2 linked regions of the Rattus norvegicus genome follow. The protein of the gene in region 1 binds, or shares a complex with, the protein of each later gene. Links are inferred from orthologs where the notes say so. Each region holds a gene or a part of one and is shown in the gene's direction. Other genes may lie near its edges.

Region 1 (11,271 bases):
GTTATGACATGTTGGTGCATGTGTGGAGGTAGAGAACACCCTGCAGGTGTCAGTTCTCCTTCTAGCATGTGGGTTCAGGACTCAAACTCATCTCCTCAGGCCTGGACATGAGCCCCATTACCTGTTGCAAACTCTAGCAGGCTCCACCCACTGCTTTTAGTCCGAGCTTCATTACATGTTTGGATATGGGACTGGTCAGGAGCCAGGGCTAGCTATCCATGTGCATCTCACAATCCAAGAAAGCAGTGTCCACAGACTGCATCCCTGAACCACACCCCCAGACCCTCACTTCAAAAACAAAATATCAGCTAAGCAGTGGTGGCACATGCCTTTAATGCCAGCACTAGAAAGCAAAGGCAGGTGGATTCCTGAGTTTGAGTTCTAGAGCCAGAGCTACACACACACAAAAAAAAAACCCTGTCTCAAAAAAAAATTCTGTGTGGGTATCTTATAGTGCTGCCATGTACCCACATACAGAGTTCACAGTTAGGGCTGCTGCAAGATTTGGTGATAGAGTACTTGTTCTTGGAGAGGACCTACATCTGAGTCCCAGCATACACATAATGGCTCACAACTATCCTAAGTCCAGTTTCAGGGTTCCGATGCCATGTTCATACCTACACCTTAAAGGGCACAAGGCATGTCTGTATAGACATACATATATACAGGCAAGATGCTCACATGCATAAATTGAAATATCAAAAAAGCAAGGAACTGGGGTTGCAGAGGTCTCAGTGGTTAACTCAGTCCTGAGTTCAATTCTTAGCAACCACATGGTGGCTCACAAACATCTGTAATGGGATCCATTGCCCTCTGGTGTGTCTGAAAATAGCAACAGTGTACTCACATGCATTAAATAAATAAATAAATAAATAAATAAATAAATAAATAAATAACTTTAAAAAAGAAAAGAACAAACAAACAAAAAGCAAGGAATTAACTGTTATCTGTCCAGACTTCTGTGGTGATGCGTGCCTGTGTTCTTAGCATTCAGGAGTATTGCAGGGACTTCCAGGTCAGCCTGGCTACATAGAGAGACACTGTCTCCAGAAACAGCACAAAACACAGAGAAGCCAGCCAGCCAGTGCTGTCTCACTTCTATTGTCCCAGCATCAGATGGAGGCTAGCCTGGGCTACATGAAACATTCTGGGACTGAGGCTACTACTCCATCCTGACTCCCAGCCCACACTTCCTTTTGGGTTACACAGTTTCACATTTTAAGAAATTGTGACTAATATTTAAACAAGGCGGGAGGGGGGTGTCAGCTTCTGCAGCACAGCTCTCCCATAAACCCTCCTGGCTTGGTAACGTGGGTCCTGCACATCCCCATGGCAACAGCAGTGTGAATGCTTCCTAAGCCCATTGGCAACACTCTCCACGGATAAATTCACCCTCTGGAATCTTCCATAGGTTTGCACCATCAGCAACCCAATTTCTTCCTGCATGTGTTTGGGAGTATGGCAGCCAGAGGTCAGCCAGCACGAGGGCCTTGTTCAGTTTGTATTGTTTGAGACAGGAATTCTTTTTATGGAATTCCCAGCTGAACTCCAAATGTAGCTTAGGCTGGCCCAGAAATCACAATCCTCCTGCCTCACAGGATCCCAGTGCTGGGGTGACCAGCATATACCTCCAAGTCGCATGTGCAGGCTGGGCAGAGCACGTTGGGTAGAGGGCTCACCCAGCATGCCTGAAGCCCTGACTTCCATCCTCAGCATATAAACTAGGTGTGGTGGCACAACCTTACCATCTCAGCACCCCAGAGAGAGGCAGGAAGAATAAGAGTTCAAGGTCAGCCTCTCTTCTGTTAAGGGATTTGAGACCAGCCTAGGATATATGAAATCTGAAGGAAGCGGGAAATGGGGGTGGGGATCAAGAGAGGAAGGAGGAGAGGAAGGAAGGCTCTATCTCCCAGCCACAGGTCCTCTTATATCCATCCACTAGGGTCTTATGGAGAGTGGAGAGAGGTTGGTCTGGAACCTCCACTCAGGTAGCACACCCCCCCGAATGGCTCTTGCCTCTGGGGGGGATCATGGTCACTCACAATCCGCTCAAACTCTTTGGCCTGTTCCAGCTCTCTGGGGAAGCCATCGACGAGAAAGCCGCGGCTCTTTGGATAAGACAACAAGTTGTCACTGACCATGTCCAGAATGAGACCCTGGGAAGGAAAGGGCATGGACTCAGAATCTGCCCCTCCAAAGAGGCCAAGGGCTATGAAGGTCATTCAGTTTGGCCCTCCTGTAGGACAATCGCTGACTCCCTCTCTCCTTACATGCTTTTAAAAATAATTTGGGGGCTGGAGAGATGGCACAGAGGTTAAGAGCACTGACTGCTCTTCTAAAGGTCCTGAGTTCAACTCCCAGTAACCACAACCATCTGTGATGCACACAATTCCCTCTTCTGGTGTGTCTAAAGGCAGCTACACTGTACTCACATACATGTAAATATAGAATAAATGTATCTAAAATAATAATTTGAAGTTACTTCTGATTGTATGTCTGTCTGTGTGTAGATATGTTCAGGTGCAAGCAGGTGCCCCAGAGGCCAAAGAAGTAGGATCCCCTGGAGCTGGATCTACAGGCCATTGTGAGCCACCTGGGAACTGAACTCGTGTCTACAGAGCACTTAGTCTCGGGTAACAGCTAGTCACCTCCCCAGCAACTAGGCATGGAGCCCGAGCTGGCCCTGAATTCAGAGACTCCCCTGTATCTGCCTCCTGAGTGCTTGGCTCTTTTCTCTTTCCTTTCCCCCAACCCCTTTACACCCATATACTGAGCCCAAGACCTCACAAATGCTAGGTAAACCCTTGTTCTCTGAACGAGACTCACAGACTCCTAATACTCTGTTTTAGAGACAGAGTCTCACATAGCCAGGCTCATCCTTAAACTCATATATCCTCTTGCCTCCGCCTCCCCAGTGTTGGGATGAAAGGTGTGCTTTCAAGTCTAGTGACCTGGAACTGAACTTACTGCTTCCAGCGTCCTGGGACACAGGCTTGCCCCACTCTGCCCATCAGATAGCTTACATTACCTGACACGCCATCAGTCTAATGCTAGGTAAATGGCTATACTTTGCTGTGTAGGGGAGGAAGCGTATCCCTGCTCAGCAATGTGCTTCCTGGGTATTTTTGGTAGAGTCCGTTGGATATGCGGGTGTGCAGTTTATGGGTACAGAAGCTGATTTGTTTAAGTAATTTATGTACTTAGGGTCTATGTAACCCAGGCTGACCTTAAATTCCCCATCTTCCTGCCTCAGCCTCCCGGATTTGGGGACAACAGGTGTTTGCCACTTCACGTGACTTTCTTCTTCCCTCCCTCCTTTGTCACCCCTCCCCCATGACATAGTCCAGGCTAGAATCTTTTGTGTGTGTGTGTGTGTGTGTGTGTGTGTGTGTGTGTGTGTGTGTGTGTGTGTGTGGTGGATGGGTAGACTCTTATAAGTTTATTAGATCTAAAAAACAGTTATTAGATCTCTATATTATTTATCTAGCTGGGGAAGGGTGGTGCATGTGCCATTCACAGGAGTCAATTCAGGCTGTGAGGCTTGGCTGCCATCTTTGGCCCCTGGCACGGGCTGAACTGTATATGTAATAAAGGATGCCTTAGAACTCCTCATCCTCCTGACTTCGCCTCCCGAGGACTGGTTGCCCAGCATGTACCCAGTTTCTGCATGGCTGGGGATGGGACCCAGGATTTTTGAGCATGCTAGGCCAGTGGCTTTTTTTTTTTTTTTTTTGTTTGCTTGTTTTATTTGTGTGAGTGCTTGTATGTATGTCTGTACACATGTGTGAGTGTATGCAGAGCCCTCAGAAGCCAGAAACCCTGGAAATAGAGTTGACGGATAGTTGTGAACTGTTATTTGGGTGCTGGGAATCAAACCCAGGTTGGGGAGGAGCAGCCAGTGTCCTTAACCCTTATATCGTCATAGCATTGTCAGATAAGAACAGTGTTAATGCAGCAAGGCAGTGAGTGGCTGGGCCAGAACACCCTGTCCGGCCATGCCCCTGTCTCCTGTGAACGCTCACCGTGGGTACCAGGAGTCCCTGCTGCATGATGTCCCGGATCTGCCGGCCCCTCTGGGTGCTTCTCTGAGCCTCCTCCCGCAGCAGCTGGCCCAGCTCCACGTGGTAGAAGCCGTATTTCATAGCCATGTTTCTGCACTGGGTCCCTTTCCCGCAGCCAGGCCCCCCCACCACAAAGATGATCAGAGGATACCTCAGGATGTCTATGGTGTTCAGGGAAGAAAGTGGGTACTAGTACGAGTCTATAAGAGATCCTGGCCTCACACTGAAGGCTCCCTCTGTTGAGCAGGCCACCGGCCTTTTGCACAGACCTCCATGAAGTGCCTTACTGACTCCATCAACCCATTTTACAGATAATGAAAGAGGAAGGCCCTCAAACCCACCCAATAGCACCCTGCTCCACCCACCATGCGGTCCTTTCTATCCTGCCTGCTTGTGCCTCTAGTCACACAACCCTTTCCTCTCCTTCACAGTCATGGTTCTTTGTTCTTTGTCCTTTTTGACTCCCTTTAGTCTTCCTAACCAGCCTTTGTAACTCACGGTGCGCTCCCCGAAAGTGAAGAAATGAATGTCTCCGCTACTAGATACATCAGTGGAGTCAGTTGTTTATGGTTCTGTAAAGACTAACATGGAATCACCATATCTCATCCTTCTCAGGTTCAATGTCTGTACCACCCTTGACCCTCTGAGGGTCCCAACTCCTATGAGTCCCACAGGCTCCCTTTTTCTGATTCCTCCCCCGAGAATTGTACTTTCCATCTCTGACACTGGCTCCTCTACTCAAGTTATATTCCAAAGGCATCAACCAATGGTGGGGTGGGAGCATGTGCAGATGCGTTCCTGTCGTGCAAGGGTTGGTGTGCACAATCAGGTGGTGGGATACCTGCCCACCGCCCCCTTCCGTTGCCTCATGTAGACCAACTACCCCATGTTGTTACCCTTCTCCTGGGGCCGTAAAGCTCTGCCCAGCTGGGGCAGCGTGGACTCGCACAGACCCATCCCGCCCGCAATGCTGGGGTACGCCGGGGCCGGGTCTCTGCCCTGCAACGACTCCTCGGCTCCGCTTTACGTCACAAGGGACTCATTTTGCAAGATCCTCGGGATCCCCTGACTCCAGGACACAAAAGAAAACGGAATCTCAGACCCACCCCAGAAGAGCCCCGGAGGCCATTCCACAGAGCGAGCCTCGGTTGCCATGGCAACGCGGCCTCCGCTCCCGCTTCTTGGACATTTACGCTTGCGCGAGAGTACCGAGGACGCGAACACCAGAAGACTCCATTCCCACCCTACCCAAGATGCTCCACGTTGCCCGCGTCTTGACGTCACGAAGTGACGTATTCTCACGTGATTATAAGTTATCCGTGATGTAAAAGAGAACACTGGGAGAAAGCAGCTTTATTTCGCTCAGAAGCTGGAGAAGACACAGACTAGGTACAGTGGTAGCTCTCGTCTCCGTGTGGCAGTTCTACTTCCGGGTCAGGCTGTGGCGCATGCGCAGCGTTCTAAGTCTCTTTTTTTTCTCGTCTTCCAGCATTCTAGGAGACTTAAGGGTTTGGAAATCCAAAGCACAGGATCACACTAACGTGACAACCAGGAAAGGTGCTTTCCCTGGGTCCGAGGGACACAACCAAGACCATCCAGGTCTGGCCGACCCGGAGCAGCTTGAGCAACGGCCATGGCGGCTCTAGTAAGTATGAATGAGGTGGGGATGGAGGTGTCGCAAAACAGACCCCGCGCCCTCTTCTCGCCTTACAGACTCCTGTTCTTTTGCAGGGCTCCAGCAGCCAGAATGTCACTGAGTACGTCGTCCGAGTCCCCAAGTAAGTCCCCGTCCATCCACACTTTAGAACCTCGGCCCTGTGTTCCCCTGCCACGCTGGCCCTACTGCCGCGTCCAAGACATAGTAATATGTCTTGGTAAATCTTGGTAGTTAATGTTAGGGTCTGTGACTCTGTCCTGTTTCAGACTGGTCAGGCCAGACATGGTGGCTGCCTTTAATCTCAGCACTTGGGAGGCAGAAACAAGAGAATTTCTTTGAGTTCGCGGTCAGCCAGGTCTATAGAGGGAGTTCCAGACCAGCCAGGGCTACATATCGTGAGAGCCTGTCTCAAAATAAAACAAAATTCCAAACTGGTCACAAGTAGTACACATCCTGCTTTCTGTGCCAAGTGCCATGGCCCTCAACTTCTAATTTTATCTTAGGTGGGCCTGTGGTAGGCAAGCACTGTACCACTGATCTACACCTAGTCCCCTTTTATTTTTTTGTTTATTTTGAAGACACAGTTTTACTGTGTAGTCTAGCCGGTTTGACCAGGCTGACTTTGAAACCCACTAAGACCCATTCACCTCCAGCCCTTGCCTGCCTGCCTTCCTCTCTACATAAAGGTTCTCTACACCTTTGGTTCATTTTTTTCTTTTTTCTTTTTTTTTTTTAAAGATTTATTTATTTATTATATATAAGTACACTGTAGCTGTTCAGACACACCAGAAGAGGGCATCAGATCTCATTACAGATGGTTGTGAGCTACCATGTGGTTGCTGGGATTTGAACTCAGGACCTCTGGAAGAGCAGTCAGTGCTCTTAACCACTGAGCCATCTCTCCAGCCCCCGGTTCATTTTTTTCTTAAGGATTTAGTGTTATCTCTGTGTATGCCTGTGTGTATATAGATGTGTGTTGTGAGAGTGCCTGGTGCCTATGGATCTTTATATGGGGTTGGATGAGATGGAGTCTTTAAAAAAAACAAAACAAAAACAAAATTAAAAAATCCCTGAGAAACTGGAGCAGTGGTTTTCAACCTGTGGGTCGCCTAAGTCCATCAGAAAACACAGATATTTACATTATGAATCATGATAGTAGCAAGCTTACAGTTATGAACTAACAAAAATAATTTTATGGTTGGGTCACTACAGCATGAGGGGGTCATAGGGGTATTAGGGGTCATAGCTTTAGGAAGGTTGAGGACCATTGTTCCCGAGTCTTTTTTGAGTTCCCAGAATTACCTACAACCAAGGGTGTAAATCGTAGATTTGTTGAATGGCTAATCGATGGATTGAATAGTTTCTTGCCCATTCCAGGAACACAGCCAAAAGATACAACATAATGGCTTTTAATGCAGCTGATAAAGTCAACTTTGCTACCTGGAACCAGGTAAGTGTATGCCTCTGGGTGTCTGGGGCAGAGACCTAACCCTGGGCTGGTGACTTTACTGAAACAGTAGTGCCCACACCTGTAGCCCCAGCAGACCTGTGATTCCAGCTATTTGGTGGCTGAGGTAGAAAGACTGAGTGTTTTAGACCAGCCTATACTAAATAAATCCTATCTCAAAGAGAAGAAGCTAGCCTGAGGGTACGGTTCAATTGATGGAGCACTCATCTGGCATATAGGAGGCCAGGGGGACCACCAGCGCCATGTATAATGGGCATGTTGGCTGGCACACGCCTGTTATCCAGCATGGGAAAGGGGATAGGATCTCAAATTGAAGACCATCCTTGGCTACATAGTGAGCTTGAGTGAAGCCCCGGATATATATATATATATATAGACCATGTCTATATGTATACTATAAAGTAAAGTAACGGGTAACAAGATGACAAGCAGGCCATGTCATGTACAAAAACAAATGCATTTTATAAGTTTGGAGTGTTTGTTTTTAAGATAAAGCCAGCAGGCCATAGTGACACATACCTTTAATGCCAGTTCTTGGCAGCAGAGTCAGTGGATCTCTGACTTTGAGGCCAGCCTGGTCTGCACAGTGGGCTTCAGAGCAGACTGCCTATACAGTGAGACCCTGTCTCGAAAGGATAAAACCATACCACAAGATGGGTACAGCCAGGGATACTAGCATCCCAGCACCAGGGAGGTGGAAGCAGGAGGATCATAAGTTTGAACAGCCTGAGCTACATAACAGGATTCTCTAGATAATACTAAGAGGAAAAAAGTGTTAAAGGCCAAAGTTTTAAACTACCCAGTATTCTGGGTGTCATGTTAAAATGTTACTATTTCCATATTGTCTGGGTTGCTCCTGAGCCTTCCTCGGGTGGTCTCCGTGATCTCATGGACCAGTCTGTTTTACTGTTGTAAGTCCCACATTCCTCATGACCAGAGTCGTGTGTGTGTGCATATGTGCATGTGGGCATGCTGTGCATGTCAAGGCTAGAGTGGACATCAGCTGTCTTCCATAGTCACTCTACACCTTATTATTAAAATGACATCTGTTGGGCCACAGGTGTGTGAGGGATGCAGAGTTGAGATCAGAGAAGAGTTTGCAGGAGTCGGTTCTCACTTTATGCTGTGTGGGTCCTAGGGCTTGAACTCAAGCCTCAGTCCTTTTGCAGGCTATACTTTATGCAGACTATATAGCAAGTACTATCTTTCCCAGCCTTTTTACATACAGTTTTGAGTCAGGGTATCTAACTGGACCTGGGGCTTGCTGACCTGTGAGTCCCAGGGACCCTGCTGTCTACACCGTTCTCCTGGGGTCGCAGATGCACACTTCCATACCCAGCTTTGTCTGTGGTACTGGGGGTCTGGACTCCCGATCCTTATGCTTGCAAGGCAGCTACGTTATCCACTGAGGCGTCTCCACCGCCCTCTCCCTGGGCAGAGCAGGTGCTCATATCCCTGCCCTCATGCCGCATGCGGGTGTGCTGGGGCACGTGAGGCCTGGCACAGCGCGACAGGAGAGTATCCCTGCTCCTGCTTCCCTCCAGGCACGGCTGGAGCGAGATCTGAGCAACAAGAAGATCTACCAGGAAGAGGAGATGCCAGAGTCTGGTGCAGGAAGTGAATTCAACCGCAAGCTCAGGGAGGAGGCTCGCCGGAAGAAGTATGGCATCGTCCTGAAGGAGTTCCGGCCTGAGGACCAGCCCTGGCTACTCCGTGTCAATGGCAAATCGGGGAGGAAGTGAGTGGTGCTGATGGTGGGGAGTTCCAGCTTGTGTCCCTCACACACGCATGCTTAGGAGACATTGTCCTCAAGTCTGTTCCCAACAGGATGGGGGCCCAGGACCACCTCTCTTGTCAAAGTTTAATCTTAAACTGGAGACTGTTGGCCTGGCTCAATAGCCTGACTGTGACCTGGAGAGCACCTTGACACTTGGGATGGTGGAGCCTGAGAAAGCCAGTGACCAGTACTCTATGCATAGTTACTCAGTGGACTGATAGCTGGAGCCTGCATGCTGTAGGGCCCCACAGTAGCCATGGTGGGTTATAGGCTGGGAGCAGCTGTGAGGATGGTGGCCACAAGGTGGCAGAGTGGTACTTGGTTAAGGAGGTGGTGGCCCATGCCTTTCTGTCCTGTCATTCCTAGAAGAGCCCAGATGGGTACTGTAAGGGGGTGGATGGAGTGCAGGCAGGCCCTGTGGGTGAGGTCCTGACCTAACTGAGGCTCTCTGCAGGTTCAAGGGCATCAAGAAAGGCGGGGTAACAGAGAACACGGCCTACTACATCTTCACACAGTGTGCGGATGGCGCCTTCGAGGCCTTCCCTGTGCAGAACTGGTACAATTTCACACCGCTGGCCCGACACCGCACACTGACTGCTGAGGAAGCTGAGGAGGAATGGGAGAGGTGAGGCAGAAGTGGTGGTTATAATGTGTATGCCCTTGGAGCAAGCCTGCCTGGAGCAGGAAGCAGTGCTTCCTTTGGCAGGCCTGGGAGCTGAGTGAAGGCTAGTACCACAGATAGGCACAGCCTGGGGGTCAGGGAGGCGCCTCTTCATGGCAACCGCCTCAGTTCTAGCTTGGGAGGTAGAAACAAAGATGGGTACAGGGAAGCTGGGATAGAGAAACTCAGTGGACAGCATAAGATGTCGTGTACACCTGCTGAGGGTGGGCCCTGTGTGTCCAGAGAGGGCTGTTGGAATTGATGTGGTCCATGGGGTTGCTCTGTGCTTGCCTACAAGCCTGGAATAGTGCCGGTTCTCAAGGGCTGGGATTGAAATGTCAAAAGCAGCTCCTCCTACTATGCTTAGCCTTATTCTGGGCACACATAGGTTCATGGACAGCTCCTTGTCCAATGAGACCCTACTCTATGTAATCCTTGAGATAAATTAATGATGGGGGTATGGGTGGGGGTAGTGTGAGTGCACACCTCAGCACACAGATGGCAGAAGCAAGAGAATCAGGAGTTCAAGTCCATCTTCTGCTGTATTAAATTTGAGGCCAGCTGTGGTTATACAAGATTTGGTTTCAAAACACCCAGAACTCCAGACACAGTGGTACACGCCTTCTATCTCAGCAAAACACCCAGAGCTCCAGACACAGTGGTGCACACCTTTTATCTCAGCACTTTGGTACACAGGCAACAGGCTCTCTGAGTTTGAGGACTGGTGTATATTCCAAGTTCCATGCCAGCTAAGATCACACAATAAGATCCTGTTTTAAAGGAATTTTAATTGGGCCAAGCCTGATGGTGTACACCTTTAACCCAGCACTCTAGGATGCATTGGCATGAGTATCTCTGTGAGTTCAAGGCCAGCCTGGTCAACATAGTGAGTTCCAAGATAGCCAGGACAGTAGAGATCCTATCTCACAAAACCACAAAACAAAACAAAACAACCCTCCCCAACCCTCCCCTCCCAGGAAAAAGCATAAAAAATTATTTAGCTAACCAATATGATGGCTGGATATGCCTGGAACAGACCCTGAGTCTGGAGGAGCTAAGATGTGGGGTTCCCAGAGGGCTCAAGTGCACGTGGGCCTGAGGCCATTTCAGGGCTCACCCTATATTATTTCAAGATCCGGGGGTCTGAAATGGCCCATGCTGCATGCCCTGCCCCTCCCCCCCTCTGTTGCATGTGGTGTGGCTCAGGTTAACACCCTACAGGGTCTTTCTGCTTTAGCTTCCTCACAGTGTGCGCGCCTTAACGAGGTTACCCCGTCATGCCCATTGTCCCTGAAAAGGACGGTGCCCATCTGAGTGTCCTGGTCATTATCTTCCACCAGCCTCTGCTGCACAACGTACTCAGTCACTTGTCCCCATGTGTAGGAGGAACAAGGTCCTGAACCACTTCAGCATCATGCAGCAGCGGCGACTCAAGGACCAGGACCAGGATGAAGATGAGGAGGAGAAGGAGAAGCGCAGCCGTAAGAAGCCTAGTGAACTGCGCATTCATGACCTGGAAGATGACCTGGAAATGTCATCCGATGCCAGTGATGCCAGTGGAGAAGAGGGTGAGTGGGGACCCAGAGGTCTTCAAGACAAGGCCATGCTGAGTTAACACCACCTGGGAAGTCATGGCGCAGAGTTACT
Region 2 (11,542 bases), on another chromosome or scaffold:
GACAGAGACAGAGACAGAGACAGAGACAGAGACAGAGACAGAAACAGACAGAGGCACTGACTGAGACTGTGTTACTGGAAGATAGCTAGGGGGTAGGGAAAACCTGGACCAACATGCTCAGTCAGCAGGATCAACAGCAGGGGGCAGGGGAGGTAACAACTGTCTTTGGAGGAAATATGACACTCCTGTAAATTTAAGAAGGTACCTGTATAACCTAAGGAGCCAATGAACTCCACTAACATCTGTAGCACTTGTCTGACACTCCCACATACAATAAATGGTACTCTCTGGTCTTCTCAAATAAGGCTTTGTTAAAGTCATTTCATCCCACCTTGGTCAGCAGCGGCAATCCTCCCCTCTGCAGCATCTCCCCTGTGTATGTTCTTCTAAAATTCACTGTTATCTAGATAGGTACAGAGCTCTGCTAGTGGAATGTCTAGCTTGTATGAAGTGCTGGGATTAACATAAGCCCGGCATGGGGGCAACACTGTTGTAATCTCAGCATCTGGGAAGTGGAGGCAAAGGGACCAGAAGTTCAAGGACATCAGCTAGATATATTTGAGGTCAGTTTAGGATGAGTGAGAAGCCCACGCAAACAAATATGATGATACACTTACCTGGCTTATACACTAACCTGGCGGAGGAGTTGCTCTAATCATGAAGATGGTTTTCCCAGGAAGAGCCTCATCCTCTCCATTCCAGATGTGCTGGCACCAGCAATTTCCCCAAATGTGGGAAACTAAACTGCGTAATTCACGGTAGCAGAGGACTGCATCACAGTCTCCTTTGAAATATAAGGAATCCAATCTACTTAGTTTAGTTTCCCCACACCAGTGTAAACAGGGAATAGCATTTTGCATATGGCTACAAATAATCCATAACCACTGTATTGCCATGCTCTCAGATTAAAAATACTTGTTTTTTAGGAGACTTTTTTTATATGAGGGGGAAGCATACCAGAAGCAGGCATGATAGCTCTTTTAATCCCCAGAATGTGGAAGGTGGAGGCAGAAGGATGGGAAACACAAGGCCATTTTTGGCTACATAGCAAGGTTTTTTTTTTTAAGATTTATTTATTTATTTTATGTACAGCATTCTGTCTGCATATGTGACAGAAGAGGCACCAGATCTCATTACAGATGGTTGTGAGCCACCATGTGGTTGCTGGGAATTGAACTCATGACCTCTGGAAGAGCAGTCAGTGCTCTTAACCACTGAGCCATCTCTCCAGCCCTACATAGCAAGTTTTGAGGCAGTGCCTTTACTCACTGATCTATCTTGCTGGCCCTGTCTTTTGCTTATCTGCCACAGTCTTTTGCTTCTTTGCTTTTCTTGGATCAAGCTCCCATGATAGAATTCTAAAACTTATTTAATTCCCATAAGGTCTCATTTTCTTTTGGGGCCTGTTCAGTAAAACATAATGACTCTTCCTTGATGACCTTGGCATTCAGGCTATTCGGAAGTTGTTATCACAAGCATAAAAGAAACCCAGAAGAGTCAAGAAAAAATTGCAACATGTTTCATCATAACCATCATATAAAGAGTTAAAGGCTTCAGGATGGCATCAGCCTGCACTGGGACAGTGATACAGTGATTTCTGTCATGGGGTGGATGCTCACGGAGTTAGCTTCATGTTGTCTTTGATAATGGATTATGTCACATGGAGATTCTCCAGTTACTGCTAATAGAAAAGGGGTGGGCACTAGCACCAGTATGAACCCCTATGGAAATACTGGATCTTTTACTGTGACTAGGCATTACACCACTATCCTGTAGAATCCCAGGGTACATTTAAGATCTACATGTGATGATCCATTCTAACCTTCATACATGTTTTGTGATAGAAAATTTGGTACTTGAACAGATTTAGAATCTAGTAAAAAGTTATGATTTTAAAAGTTACTCGTTATTTCAGCACTGGGAGACAGGAAGATCTATGAATTCCAGGCTAGCCTAGTCTACATAGCAAGACTCTGAGAAAAAAAATACAAGACCTGGAAAGAAAGCTCAGCATTTAAGAGCACTTGCTGTTCTTGCAGAGAACCAAGTTCAGGGCCCAACTTCTAGGTGGGGCAGTGTATAGTAGTCTGTAGTTCCAGTCAAGGGGATCCAACTGTCTCTTCTGATCCCTACTGATACTCACACATAACTCAAAATAATAAAATCTTAAGATCCAAGATGTCTTGCAGTATGAAATCCTTTTACGGTAGCCATGGGTTTAACCTAGTATTTATTGTACAGATGTACAGATGTCTAGTATACAAACTTGTTTACCTCTTCCCCTTTGTTGAGAAGAAGTACTTTGTAACATGGCTGCAGGTCAAAATATGCTGTTAATCTGCATGTAGAGGAAGAAGCTGGAAAGTACTGTTGAAATCAGAAATGATTTCCTTTTGAAAGAAATTACCACTGTGAGTCCATGCATGCTAAGCAAGCATTTTACTACTGAGTTAAGCCAACAATTCTTTAAAAAAAAGAATGGCATCAAGGAAGACTGGAATCTCTCAAGCTGGTCTGTGAATATTACAGACTTGAACTAGACATGAAACGCAAAGCCCAAAGTTGTTCTTTTGGTGAATGGAGAATGGAGAGAGTACAGTTTACTAAGATACCAGGATGCACACTGGGAGAGAAGCCATCACTTTAATTAACGGTTTTCACTTGAATTCCTGAATCCCTTCACGTTTTCCACTCTATTTTTATTTTTTTTAACATTTTTTTTTATTAACTTGAGTATTTCTTATATACATTTCGAGTGTTATTCCCTTTCCCGGTTTCCGGGCAAACATCCCCCTCCCCCCTCCCCTTCCTTATGGGTGTTCCCCTCCCAACCCTCCCCCCATTGCCGCCCTCCCCCCATAGACTAGTTCACTGGGGGTTCAGTCTTAGCAGGACCCAGGGCTTCCCCTTCCACTGGTGCTCTTACTAGGATATTCATTGCTACCTATGGGGTCAGAGTCCAGGGTCAGTCCATGTATAGTCTCTAGGTAGTGGCTTAGTCCCTGGAAGCTCTGGTTGCTTGGCATTGTTGTACTTTTGGGGTCTCGAGCCCCTTCAAGCTCTTCCAGTTCTTTCTCTGATTCCTTCAATAGGGGACCTATTCTCAGTTCAGTGGTTTGCTGCTGGCATTCGCCTCTGTATTTGCTGTATTCTGGCTGTGTCTCTCAGGAGCGATCTACATCCGGCTCCTGTCGGTCTGCACTTCTTTGCTTCATCCATCTTGTCTAATTGGGTGGCTGTATATGTATGGGCCACATGTGGGGCAGGCTCTGAATGGGTGTTCCTTCAGTCTCTGTTTTAATCTTTGCCTCTCCCTTCCCTGCCAAGGGTATTCTTTTTCCTCATTTAAAGAAGGAGTGAAGCATTCACATTTTGATCATCCGTCTTGAGTTTCGTTTGTTCTAGGGATCTAGGGTAATTCAAGCATTTGGGCTAATAGCCACTTATCAATGAGTGCATACCATGTATGTCTTTCTGTGATTGGGTTAGCTCACTCAGGATGATATTTTCCAGTTCCAACCATTTGCCTACGAATTTCATAAACTCGTTGTTTTTGATAGCTGAGTAATATTCCATTGTGTAGATGTACCACATTTTCTGTATCCATTCCTCTGTTGAAGGGCATCTGGATTCTTTCCATTTTCTGGCTATTATAAATAAGGCTGCGATGAACATAGTGGAGCACGTGTCTCTTTTATATGTTGAGGCATCTTTTGGGTATATGCCCAAGAGAGGTATAGCTGGATCCTCAGGCAGTTCAATGTCCAATTTTCTGAGGAACCTCCAGACTGATTTCCAGAATGGTTTTACCAGTCTGCAATCCCACCAACAATGGAGGAGTGTTCCTCTTTCTCCACATCCTCGCCAGCATCTGCTGTCACCTGAGTTTTTGATCTTAGCCATTCTCACTGGTGTGAGGTGAAATCTCAGGGTTGTTTTGATTTGCATTTCCCTTATGACTAAAGATGTTGAACATTTCTTTAGGTGTTTCTCAACCATTCGGCATTCCTCAGCTGTGAATTCTTTGTTTAGCTCTGAACCCCATTTTTAAATAGGGTTATTTGTTTCCCTGCAGTCTAACTTCTTGAGTTCTTTGTATATTTTGGATATAAGGCCTCTATCTGTTGTAGGATTGGTAAAGATCTTTTCCCAATCTGTTGGTTGCCGTTTTGTCCTAACCACAGTGTCCTTTGCCTTACAGAAGCTTTGCAGTTTTATGAGATCCCATTTGTCGATTCTTGATCTTAGAGCATAAGCCATTGGTGTTTTGTTCAGGAAATTTTTTCCAGTGCCCATGTGTTCCAGATGCTTCCCTAGTTTTTCTTCTATTAGTTTGTCCACTCTATTTTTAAAATAAATGGTGTGAAATAATTGAGTGTAAACGTCCTGAACCCAACAGATTTTTACTGAGTTAAAAGTTTGATCTGTGAGAACACATACCACCTGTACTCTATTGAATTGATCAAACACAAGAGGGAGAATACTACGAGAAAAGCTAAAGCCACCAACTAGTGGAAGTAATTGATGGAGTTGTCCTTGTGAAAACCTTAGTTGTGAAAACCTTGGCTTCAAAAAGGAAGATGGGCAGGCGTTGTGATTTGCGCAATTAATTTCAGCATTGAGGCGGCGAAGGTAGAGAACTGCGCCGGTTTAAGAGCAAGCTCAGCCTGGGCTACATAGACTATCAAGCCTCGGGCTTCCCCTATCATTCCATTCCCCAACATAAAATAGAAGAGAGGTGACAAGAAACTAAGAAAACTGGAATTTGAAAACAACAAACAAACAAAAACCTGCATGGGTATTGAACAATTTGAAAACCGTGATATTGGGAAGTGAAGTGTTGGTAGGGTGGCCTGCTGGTGTTCGCCCAAGCAATGGCTGGGTTAAGATTCCAGCAGCACCTGTTTTGGCTTCCTGCTCTATCTGCCGTTACACAAGCACAGACTCTCGAACGCCGAGCTGTGGGAATGTTTTGCTACCCTGGAGAGAGGGGCAAATCAAAACAAAATCCTACAGGAATTAAGGAGAGAAACACTATAAACCAGTCCCCAACAAGCGCCCTAGTTCTTCGGTACTGCCAGGCAGAAAGGGACAGGGCTTTTGCGTCATAAGTCAGCGCCGGAAGTTGGCGAAGCAGCGCCGGTAGTGTCTCTTGCTTCTAAGAGCCGGAGAAAGCGTTTGCGTGCACAGAGGAGGGACGCTTTCCGGAGCTGCGGAGGTAAGGGATCGGCGGGTGATTTGGGAGGTAAATTGGAGGCAAAACTAGGAGAGACACCTGGCTTTAAAATATCCCTGGACGACCGAGAGCGGTAGCACACGCCTGCCATCTGAGCGCTTGGGAAGCAGAGGTAGGAGAATTCTGCCATCAACAAGCACCTTGACTTTCAATCTAAGGCTACAAAGTGAGTTCTCGGCTAACCTGAATTACAAAGTGAAGACTCTCAAAGCCTTCTTAAAGAACCAAATGCGAAAATAAAGATCCCCGGTGGAGTTAATGTTGAGACAAGCTTTGACGGAGCTACTGCTCCCAGCTCAAATCGGAATTCCTTTGCGGAGTGATACTGGACAAACCAACATGTCCTTAGCCTCCGTTTCTTCGTGTGTAATACCCTCTAGGATCCTGAAGAGTAATAAACATTCATAATGTATTTACTATTGTTGAAAATGTGCTGTATCCTTCAGACCCAGCCCACATCACTGTTTAGGGGAAGTAGATAATTACTTTTTTTTTTTTTTTAATTTCCCCATCCGTAATATTGGGTATTGATTCTTGGGCTTCTGCACACTAGGCAAACATTCTACTGAGGTTTTCCTCTTTGGTCGGAAAATCAGAACCTCGTATAGCTTCTGAGAAAAAGATAAATCAAATGGGGCATGTTTTGTGCGAAGGCCCTGTTACTCAGTCTTTGGCTCTCATTTCAGGCACGAACAATGGACACCCAGAAAGATGTTCAACCACCAAAGCAGCAGCCAATGATATATATTTGTGGAGGTAAGATTAACATTTAAATAATGCTTTACTTAGGAACGCCCCCCCCTCCCATTAAAAAGAATCCTTCCATACATGAGTACAAATCTTTAAAATTATAACGTGGAGCACTTTAGCGATTGTTAATTTTAAAATCCCTCTACCTTATTAAGATTTCTTCCTTTTATCTGGAAAAGGTGTACTGCCTACAGCTCTTCTTTCTCCTTGGTCTGTTCAGTAATAAGAATGTACTTGGATGTTTTGGTGCCCTGGTTTCCTCCTGTTTTTAATATGTTGTTACTGTTTGCTTCCCTGGAGTGTTTCTCTTTCAGGCTTTGAATAAATGTGCTTTCTTTCCCAGAGTGTCACACCGAAAATGAAATAAAATCCAGGGATCCAATCAGATGCAGAGAATGTGGATACAGAATAATGTACAAGAAAAGGACTAAGAGATGTATCCTTTTAAGTATACTTTTTAAATGTGAAGAGGAAGTAACTAATACTTGGGTTGATAAAGACTAAGATCTGGGGCTGGAGAGATGGCTCAGTGGTTAAGAGCACTGACCACTCTTACAGAGGTCCTGAGTTCAAGTCCCAGCAACCACATGGTGGCTCAACCACCTAGTAATGGGATTTGATTCCTTCTGGTGTGTCTGAAGACAGTGACAGTGTACTCACATACATGAAATAAATAAATCTTTAAAAAAAAAAAGACTAAGATCTGATCAAAGTAGTAATAACTTTTGGATTATTTTTTAAGCAGAGTGCATGTGGACTTATTGAGAACTGAAAGAGTGGAGCCTCCACAGGAGGTATACCCAGATTAATTATTTTAATAGGATTTATTTTTCCCAAAACTTGTGGGGTAGAGACAGGCAGCTCCTTGTGAATTCCAGGCCAGTCTGGTCTACACTTAGGATTCCAGGCCAGCTAAAGCTACTTAGTGAGACCCAGTCTCAAAGGACCAACTAGGGGCCTGAGAGCTGGATCTGCAGGCAGGAGCATTGCTGCTTTTTCAGAGGGCCTTAGAACCAACATGATTGCTCACAATCACAGGTGGTCGGATAGGCCGACCTCTGACCTACCAGTGCGCGGGACCCAAATGGTACATACATGCATACAGGCAAAAGCACTTGTGCATAAAATAAACCTGAATAAAACAAATTTTAAAACCCAGTAAATACATTTTTAATTCATTTATTAAGGTTATCACTGGCCTTCCTAAACCTCTGTGGCCTTATACTGGCTAGTTTTGAAGGCCAACTTGACACAGGCTGGAGTTATCACAGAAAAGGAGCCTCAGTTGTGGAAATGCCTTCGGGAGACCCAGCTGTAAGGCATCTTCTCAACTAGTGATCAAGGAGGGAGGACCAAGCCCATTGTGGGTAGTGCCATCCCTGGGCTGGTGGTCCTGGGGTTCTATAAGAAAACCAGCTGAGCAAGCCACGGGAGGCAAGCCAGTAAGTAACATCCCTCCATGGCCTCTGCATCAGCTCCTGCTTCCTGACCTGCTCGAGTTCCAGTCCTGACTTCCTTTGGTGATGAAACAGCAATGTGACTGTGTAAGCTGGATAAACTCTTTCCTCCCCAACCTGCTTTGTGTCATGATGTTTGTGCAGGAACAGAAACCCTGACTAAGACAGGCCTCAAACTCAGAGATCCACCTATCCCCGCCCACCACCTCTACCCCCCAAATCCGGGATTAAAGACATGTACTCCCAAGGCCTGGCAGAGGTTTTTATATAAAGTAAATGTGATTAGCATTTTCATGTACCATTCATTATGGGCTTTCAGTAATATAAAAACTAGTTGATAAGTCTTTTTTACTTTTCAGGAAATCTTTGTTTTTAGTAATAGTCATTGTTGGTTATTAGTTTATGAACAATATAAAGTACGGAAGAAGAGATTAATAACAGTGGAAAATAGTGAGGCCTACAAATTGTTTCATGGTAACGGACACAAACTCTTAAAAGTCATCAATTGTTTCAGTGAGTTTTTTTAATTTGTGTTTATTTTTAATACTACTTATATTAATATATGTTACATTATTAATTTATATTATCTTGTATCCAAAAAAGTAAGCTACTGAACATGGCAGTAGTGTACTTTATTTTTTTAGATAATCTCTGATTATAGTGAACTTCATTCTTTTGTTCATTTTATATTCAATTGCAAGCTTGGTGCAGGGGGTAACTTGGAAGCCTTAGTCTTACACAATTTTAAGTACTGTTTAAAATCCTTAACTCAATTCAACAGTGGTGGTTTTTGATGCTCGATGAAACAGTGGAGTTGAGGAATGTCTTCATACATTTGCCTCGTTGATGTTTCTCTTTAATGTATAGCATTTAACTTAGCTTACTTAATGACTACAACTGTGTACCTATGATTTCATTTTAGAAATGCCAATTGTATTTTAATACTCTGTATAAAGGAAATTTCGGGTCAACATATGACTTAATTTATTGTCCTTGTAATTCCTCATACAGTGAAGATTAAAAGTGTTTCTCCAAACCACTTCAATCCAGTGTCTTGTTAAAAAGCCATCGAGCCAGGTGATTTGTGTTCAATGGGTCTGTCCTCTGACCTCCACGGGCACACGGAGACTCGGGCATGTGCTTGTGGTGCACCCACAGAGACAATTAACTAAAATAGAACATTGAAAATTCTGAATGCAGCTTTTTAGAACCCTTTTCTAAAGGTCTGAAGAGATATGTCCCTTGGGAACGACTGTACTTTGTCAACAACTCTAAACTCTCCAGAGTGCCACTGTACTTCCTGTCTGTAGAATTGTAAAAAGCCAAAAGGAAATAGACTTGGGCAGCGGGCAGAGGAGCGGCTCAACACTTGAGAGCACTTGCTGTACTTCCAAGGGCGTCTGGCTCTGTTTTCAAGCACCCGTTGTGTATATCCCAACAGACTGGAACTCCAGTCAGGGAACTGACACTGCCTTCTGGGTGTGTACACAGTCCACACAGACCCACACATAGACTATAAAAAGTGTTTCCTCAGTTATGTAGGTACACATATTCCTTAGACCACAGAGTTCTGGGAGTTGGGTGTAGTGGAGCCTGTCTAATCCCAGTGCTTGGGAGGTGGAGGCAGGAGGATTCAGAAGGTATTCAAGGGTTGTCTCTGGCTACATAACTAGTTTGAGGCTAAGAGTGATTGACTACTAGAGCAGCCGGTGCTCTCCCATGGTACTCTACTCTGTTGCTTTACTGTATGTCTAGGTTGGCTGTTTGAAGACGGGTCTTGACTCTGCAATCCTCCTGCTTCTGTCTCCTGTGTAACTGGGAGTGCAGGCCTACACTACCAGGCACAGCTTGAAATACTTTCTGCTGTTCAAGAGCTCTGTAAATTGAATAAACCTTGGCACCCCTTGTGACCCTTACTAGGCCTTTCTTTACATTATCTGTTTATTGGTTGCAATACTTTTTTTCTTTTATGAGGACAGATATATTTTCCTTGCCCACAGTCTTCAAGATTATTTTGACCTTTTGTCAATTCAGCATAGATTGTATAGCCAGAAGAAAACATGAAGTGTGACAAGAAAATTACGAACCCCATGGCATGACAGCCATTCTCGAGATTGTTACAGTTTTTCTCTGCAGGAAATCAGTGTTGTGGGAGTTCAGGTGGTTGCTTGAGACTCGATTTGCCGTCTGGAGTGAGCACCTGGAGCATACGATGCTGTTTCCACATAAGTGGGTCAGCCTAGGGACTATCCTAAAGCTTGGGTCTTCATCCACAAATACGCAGTTTAGCATTCTCCCAACGTCACGCCCTAAGTAAGTATATAAATGTAATAGCGTGATCATTGGGACTGGTAGCAGCAGTGGCCCCTGCCCGCAGACTCGTCGGGACGTAGACAAATTTATTTACAGGATTCCTGTTTTGGACTGAGTACATACCAGCTGCTTTGCGCATCTACTTTACCAACTCTGAAATGTATTTAAAACGGAAGTAAATTTCTCCACAAAACGACCTCTGCTGCTTTATTCATCTGAATTGCTTCTATCAATCATTTGTATCTCCAGCACCTTGTTCCTCACCAACCTCTCAAGACTGCATGAAAAGAGGAAAATGTGCCTTTCATTTATTCTTGTTCAAAGGACAGTAGATAAGTAAGCCTAGTGTGTAACAAAGAGTCTAACGTTTCAGTTACGTAAATTTCAGTTATGTAGAACTAGACACCACTTTCCTTAGGAGTACAGCAGTCTATTGATAGCGTTTTAAGCGGGGTGTTGGAGGCACACACCTTTAATCTGAGCACTCGGGAGGTAGAGGCAGGCGAATCTACAGAGGGAATTCCAGGACAGCCAAGGCTACGCGTAGAAACCCTGTCATGGAAAATCAAAGCAAAAAGAAACAGCGTTTCACTTGCTGTAAAACAGACTGAAACCCAAAGGAGGGGTTTCGCTCTGGTTCTGGTCTGGGTGATGGCCGGAGTGGGCTGCGGCCTGTGAGGCCAATCAGCGGTGGCAGTTGGAGTAGCCAATCGCCGGGCAGCGAGCTTAGTCTCCGCCCAGTCGTGTTAAGCACTGGCTCCGGTTCTCGGGTCGCTCTCCGCTGGTCATAGTCAGAGACCCCGGTGAGCACCCGCGGGGCGTGGAGGAAGCGGGCCGCACACGCACACTATCGATGAACGTCCTTTCTGGTCTGGAAAGGTGATTGGAACTTCCCACCGCTGTGGTTCGCACGGGAGTGGAAATTGTGGTGGAGTTGCCGCACTGCGGTTTCCTGGGACAGCCATCTGCTTCAGCCCGGGGAACCTCAGCCCAGGCCAGAGGAACGACTCCCGACGCCACGGCTTGCAGGTTGGCCCTAGAGCTAGCTCCCGGGCTCGTCCCAGACACTTTCCCTGGGTCTGGCGGTGCCTGGAAACCGTTGCCATAGCTGGGGCATGCCACTTCCGTTTCTGGCTGCAGAGGGCGCTGGCCGCCTGGGTAGGAGAAGCCAGGTTTTTCATGTTACTAGGGTTACCACGAAACGCTACAGCAATTTGCACAGGAGATATTACTAATACACTGATTAGGGAATATGGGAAATGAATCAAACTCGGCCAAGACCAAGGTTTTATATAGAAAGACTGAAAAGAAATACGGAAAAATTCTCTAGAGAACAATCCAAACCACCCTTTAGAAGCTGAGACTTAACGTTGAGGTGTGTATGGAGGTAGGGACTGGGGGAGGTGTCTCATAGAGCTCAAGCTGACAGAGTTAGTTATGTTTCTGAGGATGATCTTGAATTTATGTCCAGCCCCCAAGTGCTAGCTAGCATTACGCCACGCCAAGCTAACATGCAGCGACATTAAGAAAATGTATCCTGTAGAAGAAAAAAAGCATAAAAGATTCAACATCGGGCAGTGCACAAGTGTCTGTAACTCTAGCTCCTTTAATACAAATAAAGAGTAGAATTCTTCGAGTTTTCTCCCAATTCCTTTCAAACTTTCAGATTATGCTTTTGATGGAAAGCAGTCTTCACTCTCAGCCTAGAGGTATGTTTTGAAAGCTTTAGTCTAATTCCCTGGCTGCATCCTGTTCCAAAGTCGAACTGTTAACCTTTTATACCCAA

What was found.
Region 2: Gtf2f1 (region 1) and Polr2k share a complex: the UniProt entries of both Homo sapiens proteins name them as parts of the TBP-based Pol II pre-initiation complex. The link is inferred for Rattus norvegicus from reciprocal best matches to the Homo sapiens genes GTF2F1 and POLR2K.

Annotation. Positions count from the first base shown.
Region 1 is NC_086027.1:1,934,495-1,945,765, reverse strand, and holds the start of Gtf2f1 (general transcription factor IIF subunit 1), read left to right. Parts: upstream 1-5,568; 5' UTR 5,569-5,694; coding exon 5,695-5,706; intron 5,707-5,792; coding exon 5,793-5,839; intron 5,840-7,095; coding exon 7,096-7,168; intron 7,169-8,730; coding exon 8,731-8,924; intron 8,925-9,417; coding exon 9,418-9,588; intron 9,589-11,007; coding exon 11,008-11,192; intron 11,193-11,271. UniProt on the Homo sapiens protein: TFIIF is a general transcription initiation factor that binds to RNA polymerase II and helps to recruit it to the initiation complex in collaboration with TFIIB. It promotes transcription elongation.
Region 2 is NC_086025.1:69,236,098-69,247,639, forward strand, and holds Polr2k (DNA-directed RNA polymerases I, II, and III subunit RPABC4), read left to right. Parts: upstream 1-5,135; 5' UTR 5,136-5,218; intron 5,219-5,922; 5' UTR 5,923-5,931; coding exon 5,932-5,992; intron 5,993-6,329; coding exon 6,330-6,422; intron 6,423-8,224; coding exon 8,225-8,247; 3' UTR 8,248-8,482; downstream 8,483-11,542. UniProt on the Homo sapiens protein: DNA-dependent RNA polymerase catalyzes the transcription of DNA into RNA using the four ribonucleoside triphosphates as substrates.